2 linked regions of the Nothobranchius furzeri genome follow. The protein of the gene in region 1 interacts with the protein of each later gene in a pairwise test. Links are inferred from orthologs where the notes say so. Each region holds a gene or a part of one and is shown on either strand. Other genes may lie near its edges.

Region 1 (2,921 bases):
GTGTGTTCGTGTCCTGCCTGCAGGAAGAGATGCGTCAGTCTGTAGCTCCTGCAGAGCCGGTGCAGTACTACTTCACCTTGGCCCAACAGGCTGGAGCTGTACAGGTGCAAGGCGCACAGCAGGGTCAGCAACCCGGCACGCAAACGGCCACGACCATCCAGCCCGGGCAGATCATCATCACGCAACCTCAGCAAGGACAGGTGCTTTAAACAGAGTTGAGGGAAAGGTGTAAAGAAGCAAAAACAGAAGGAAACCAGCTCTCTTTGCTTTAAAGAGTAAAGGGGTTTAGACTCGAGTCCATCCCTGTTACAACAGAACGTACGGTCTGTCTGAGCGGAGCAGCAGATACAGCAGATATGACCCTCTGAAGTCATACTTTTTTTTTTTTTAGTTAACATTGAAGGCGTAATAAGTAAGAATTTCACAGCGAAATGATCAGAAAACCTTCCAATGTCTTAATTATGCTGGAAGGAAAGTTACATCAAAACACAGTTCCTTTTCTGGGGGTCTTCAGGTTTTCTCCTTTTAAAATGGCTGAAGAGGGTCTTTGTTTACAATCTGCCCCAACTCCATACTCGCTGGTTCCAGAGCCAATCGTATGTGAGTTTTCACAGCAGCAGCGTTATGGACAGAATGCTGGCCAGTAAAAGGAACCAGGAGTTAATTCTGTACCCTCAAGAAGCCACGACGTCTTTTTGTTTTATTCTAATATTGGGTATTGAAGACTAGAGGCTAACGTTGAGCTAACAATGCTAACCGGGGATGAAAAATATTTGTTGGCTCTAAAAAAATCTCAAGATACTTCCTCCAATATTATTCAACTCAATATTGCAGCGAAACATTTTTATTTACGCATCAACTCGGTGTGTATGATCGTCTTCAGTCACTTTTGTTTGTATACAAGGGCTGCAGTACCCATAGTTCACCACAAGATGTCAGTCTTCATGCAGAAAACTACAAAATAAAACTGAACGATGTTTATTGTTATTAAAGAGATTCTAAATGCAAAACAAATAAAAAAATGAACCCAAAACAAAATAGAAGTGAAATGTAAACACTGTGAATCCTTTTTTTTTCTAATTTTGCACCCAAACAACAACATACCTCCAGTTTCTCAGAGTTAGCTGTGAAGTGAGCCTCATCCCCTGGCTCACGGTGCTTTCACCGCCCATCAAGCTAATCCGTAGTCCTTCCGCTTGTCTCTCTGTTTTGAATTGTTCATTTCCTGCTTGTTTTAGTTCTGCTTCCTTCCAGTTTGGCTCCTGCTCGTAGCTCGCTCCGCTTCACTCTTGCTTCACGCTGCTTCAGCAGACTGCTGCTAGCCGAGCTGTCAGACATGCTTGGGCCTCGTGTGATTCCCAGTCCTGCTTGTCACTTTGTCCCACACCCATTTACATTTACTCAGTGGCACATTGGATTAATCGATGTGTTTAAATTTAAATTCTCTAGAAAGTTTTTTTTTAAGTTTACTCAGTAAACAGTGCTTTTTTTTCTAGCTCTGAATACAAAAACAGACTGAAATTGCCCCTAAATGAGGCACATTCTGGGTTTAGTTGGTGAAGTAGAGCGTAAGCCTGGAGAAAAACTTCACATTTTATGTGTTTGCATGCAGACATCAGTAAAGATCATTTTATACACTCAGTGTCGTTTTTTAACCAGACCCAGGCACCCAGAATATAACATTTAAACAGGCATCAGAAACTGGAATTGGCTGAAAAAGAGCAGATTCTAGTGTTTATCAACTTTCATCATTTCATTTTGAATCTCCTGCTTCTCTTGGCGTTAAATGTTGCTTAAATCCTCCGTTTTCCATTCTAACGCCTGAAGCTCACGCTTACATGTGTGTGTTACGTTTTTGCTATCGCTGCCCTCTCACCGTGTGTCTTTCTCTCATTTTTTCATCCTATTCTGTCGGCCATCAGATGTTGCAAGGTGCCAACATGCAGCAGTTACAGCAAGTGCAAGTGCAATCACAAGGCACACCCATCACGGTAAACACACGCACTATTTGTCTACTCGGTGCCGCGGCCCGGTGGGTGACCACCACCTGCAAACTCTGGGCTGCTCAGATGACCGAACTCTCTAGGGGTGTCTGCAGCACGAGATCGGATGGCCTTTCCTAGATACTGTGACAGACAGAAGAGAAATAGAGGACATGAAACCTGTGATGTCACATCTTTTGGAGCCAGCTTTAGAATCATTGATTACATTTTGTTAAACGTAAATACTTTACGCTTTATGTTTATGGATTAACTGTATTTCAGTCATTCTTTTCCAGCTCTAATAGTCACGTGACGCCTGTTTGTGTTTATTTTTCTTCTTTAAGAGTGCGCCTGTTGCTATGCAGGTGGGTGAAGGCCAGCAGGTGCAGATTGTCCAGGCTGCTGCAGCGCAGGGTCAAGCTCAGACGGCACAAGCCCAAGGCCAGACCATGCAGGTTATGCAGCAGATCATCACCAACACGGGAGAGATTCAGCAAATCCCGGTAAGAGTTTGTGTCCAACTGGGAGAATTAAGGAAACCGAAGCGATAACACTAGAAAAATCAGATAAATGGTTGTAGAACAAACTAAACGGATGTTTTTGGAACATTCACAAGCAGGAAGTGAAGAATCCTGCATTGTCCAGGGTAGGAAAATGGCTGTCCTCTGTGTCTGAATGACCTTTTCTCTGAGCGAAACTCTGTCTCCCCCTTGTGTCGGTTTGCTGCAGGTGCAGCTAAATACAGGCCAGCTACAATACATCCGACTAGCCCAGCCTGTCTCCGGAGCGCAAGTGGTCCAGGGACAGATTCAGACTCTGACAAACACCCAGCAGGTAATCAAAGCAACAAAACCAGCCGGTGTGCTGCAGTCTGCATGAGTTGTGATTAAAAATAATAATAAAAAAATCACTGGGTGCACAAGTCACGATAAAGCCAAA
Region 2 (4,007 bases), on another chromosome or scaffold:
TTTAGAGGCTAACTTTAGGGAAGAACTTGGATGAAGCAAAGGCAGCTTGTGTTTCCTTTAGTTTTATATGCATCCGGCTGTACAGTGCAGCAGAAACATGGCAAAGGTGACTTCTAAGAAATAAAACACAAAGACAGGCTTAACGCTGTGGGACACCTGAGATGGATGAGAGGATAAGACATGAGAGGATCAGGATTTACTGTAGAAATCCTGGGCCTGTTTTGGAAAGGCTATATGGAACATAGACAGCTATGGTTGTATGTTATTTTCTCTTGTCATGTTGTTAAAAAATCTAAAAGTTGGGGCTGCAGCAGTCATGAAAAAAGTCCATCAAACCCTGTAGAGTCAAAAGTATCGTTGCTTTAATCTTCACTAAATGAACACGTCAAAGTTTGTTCTTTAAGATCAGCTTTTTAAAAGTGCCTTCATTTTAAAATTACAATATATATCAAGGTTGATTTTGGTGACTCAGGGGTTAAGAGGATGAGGTTAAGGTTACGAGTTCAAACCGAGGTTCCCCCAATCATGTCACGTATTGCGTCCTTGGACAAGACACTTCACCCACCTTACCTGCTGGTGGGGGTCAGAGGGGCCAGTGACACCAGTGCTATGCAGCCTCGCCTCTGTCAGTGTGCTCCAGGGCAGCCGTACATTCTAGCTCATCACCATCATTGTTTGAATGTGCGTCTGAATGGATGAAGGATTCAGTGTAGTGTAAAGTGGTTTGGAGTCCTCTGATTGTAAGGATCTACACAAGTGCAGGTCATTTATTAGTTATCGTGACTAGTTTCTGGTATTAACGTTACAGTGCTGGCGTGATTCATTTAAAGCTTGAGTTTTTGAACATATTTAAATGTTATAATGAGAAATAAAAGGCTCATATTATCTAGTGTAAATCTTCGGCATCTTCAGAAAAGCTGACTTTGAAGTTTGATGTAATGTCACAAAACCTCCACGCGAGGGCGACCGTTGTCCAGCTGACGCTGAAAGCAACCATCAGGCTGTTATAAAGATTTTTATTGTTCGGCTTTTGTCATCACTAAACGAACACCTTAAAATTCTTACATTTCTGCTTCAGGCTGGATTAACATTAGTCCCTTAAAAAAGAGATGCACATTGGCTATTTCAACATATCTTAAAATCAGATAAAAGCATGGTAAGAAATTTGAGGGTTCCCTCTTATGAAATCACATGTACTTATTTTTATATTTGTCCAATTTTTAAATACCAAAAGACGTGGTAGTTGTTTTTTTTACATTACAGCTATAATTGTTCTCAAACAAAAAAAGAATACGTTTATTTGCATTTGTCAGTCGAGAATGTTTATTTATGAAAGGTAGCAAACAATGTGACTTTCAATATTTTAACGATTTGTACAATGTTTTTTGATTATTTTTTTAAATCTGTGACGGCCTTCTTTTTGGTAACGCTTTATGGAGTGTTTAGAAAAGCTTACTCCAGCTGTGAATGTACAACTGAGCACAGTTCAAAAATAACAGCACGCGTTGTCTTCAAAGATTCCGCTAGATGGCAGTATTTCCTGATGGGTTTCATTTCAGACTCCGACTACCAAGCCATGTTTCCGGTTTATTCGTCACGCGCATCCGTGACACATTTAGGCTAATGTTGCTAAGAATAAATGCTATCCTAAAATCCCTTACTGTAAGTTTTCCGTTTGTGTAATTTGTTTGGTTCATTTGGCAATGTAAGATAAAAATAATCGGTGGTGTTAAAGCACTTCATAAAGCTAGTCTTTGTGTGAGCAGCGGTACATACATCAGAGAGCTCTTTATTGTTAGCCTAATTGTAGCCTCAGCTTTCACTTCTGTTCTGCGGGGCTAGAAAACAGCAGCCGCTTTACTAGCCTGGTTGCTAATTAGACATACATCTTATTAATATACTAGGGTTTTGTGAAGTGTTTTTGTTCAGCGTGTGTGGAAGATATCCGTGACACTTGCTTTCATTTCTAATTCCTTAAAAGTCACATCGTCAGGCGGCTCATTGTTTGCTATAACACACAAGTAGCCGTTAGCCAACCGGCTAACTTTTGAGGAAGCGTCTCATCTCTTCATGACATTAACTTTGTGTTGACGTCTGCTCAACCCGATCATTTTATTATTTGTACTCCGAAGACTCAAGAAGATAGACATTTGTTAATTCTGGTAACTTCCACACACTAAAGAAGCGGAGCTCCGTTTTTTTATTTTTATTTTAATACTAGTTGGAAGTTATTTTTGTGCCACGATGGCTTCCTCATCTGGGAACGACGACGACCTCACCATCCCCAGAGCAGCCATCAACAAAATGATTAAGGAAACTCTCCCTAACGTTCGAGTGGCCAACGACGCCAGGGAGCTCGTCGTTAACTGTTGCACGGAGTTCATCCACCTCATTTCCTCGGAAGCCAACGAAATATGCAACAAATCCGACAAAAAGACCATATCTCCTGAGCATGTCATCAACGGTGAGTCAGTCCCGACCCAGACCAGGAAGAGTATCATCCTCCCTGGTTCTAACCGCTGAAACTAACTGATTGCACTTTCACCTCCTGTTTTCGCACCGCAGCCCTCGAGAGCCTCGGTTTCGCGTCTTACATCACGGAGGTCAAAGACGTCCTGCAGGAGTGTAAAACTGTAGCTCTGAAGAGGAGGAAGGCCAGTTCTCGACTGGAGAATTTGGGTATCCCGGAAGAGGAGCTCCTCAGACAACAACAGGAACTGTTTGCAAAGGTGAAACGTCCTCATGCGTGAAGCTTGTGCTTTTTGAATGAGCATTCTTGTTTTCCCTTTTGCCAATCAGTAATCGTTGGCCTGGGATGAGCTCTGAGTGTTTATTTAGTACTTTAAACTTATCTGTATAGCTGAGAATAAACAAAACAACAAAGTTATATTCATTTTTATTAATAACACATCGTAACATTTAAGAAACGTCCTGGTGAACATCGCAAATGAACAACAAAGTGCAAAGTTACAAAAATACTGTTATTATTAGAGTGAAGCAGATGATTTAGTTCATTGCTGATGTTATTCACGTTTAGCCTTTTTAAAGATTAAAAGTCATTGTGCTGCCTTCTAGGGTTGTCACGATACTAAAATTTCAAACTCGATTCGATACTGGGAAAAAACTCGGTACTCGATTTCGATACTATTTAAAAACACCAATTTATTGAACAAGTTTATTCAAAAAATAACATTCCTCAATTTATATTGCAAAAGTTAAATGTTAAGAATTAAGTGTGTAAAGTGCTTAAACCTTTCAAGTATCAGCATTTTTTTAAACGTGCATACAAAAACTGGTGAAAGTTAACACTTTAAATCATGAATTGTCCCACTATATATACACTATTTGCAGAGTGATGTTTTGCTGCTTAAACTCTGTTTAAGGTGCATTTTTGTCATAAGATGTAATGCCATATGTTTTGTTCTGTACTTTTGAACAACTCTGTTGGTCAATAAAGGGAGAAAACTAATTTCTCCTCAGTAGGACAAAGGTACATCTACCGGTAATCTTAATAAAAACAGACCAGCGCACGGCAGTGACGTCATTAAAAGCGCCGGTTAGATTAGCCGCGGCTAGTCTGTTTACGCCTAGAAATCCCAGACCCGCTCCAAACGAACAGGGGAATCACGTTAATGATTCCTAACAAAACCTTTCGACATTGAGATGTTTTGGTGCAGATAATGTCTTATTTCGAGGCTGCACCATGGGTGCCCGTCCGCACCCGTTATACGGATATACACTGACGGCGATTCGCCGATGGATCTACGGTAAATACCCCGGGGAATCCAAGTAGCACCAAAGTTGTCAGCATGAGTAAACAAACGTACTGCATGCTAGAAATTAAGTCCGGGTTGCAATAAACGGGAGTTTCCTTTAAGCACATAAGCGTGAATATACAACTACTTGTCGGACTTGGTATGCTAATTAAGTTGGGCTGTGAAGCGCCTCCCAAATTCGCTGTTTTTGTTTATTTTTTTTGGCAGACAAAACTTGGATCGGAGACAACT

What was found.
Region 2: the proteins of nfyc (region 1) and dr1 interact in binary tests that used the Homo sapiens proteins (3 or more experiments, as listed by UniProt). The link is inferred for Nothobranchius furzeri from reciprocal best matches to the Homo sapiens genes NFYC and DR1.

What each region holds. Positions count from the first base shown.
Region 1 is NC_091759.1:20,555,074-20,557,994, reverse strand, and holds part of nfyc (nuclear transcription factor Y subunit gamma), read left to right. Parts: intron 1-23; coding exon 24-200; intron 201-1,922; coding exon 1,923-1,991; intron 1,992-2,326; coding exon 2,327-2,485; intron 2,486-2,711; coding exon 2,712-2,816; intron 2,817-2,921. UniProt on the Homo sapiens protein: Component of the sequence-specific heterotrimeric transcription factor (NF-Y) which specifically recognizes a 5'-CCAAT-3' box motif found in the promoters of its target genes.
Region 2 is NC_091756.1:58,164,652-58,168,658, reverse strand, and holds the start of dr1 (protein Dr1), read left to right. Parts: upstream 1-1,187; 5' UTR 1,188-2,244; coding exon 2,245-2,464; intron 2,465-2,565; coding exon 2,566-2,729; intron 2,730-4,007. UniProt on the Homo sapiens protein: The association of the DR1/DRAP1 heterodimer with TBP results in a functional repression of both activated and basal transcription of class II genes.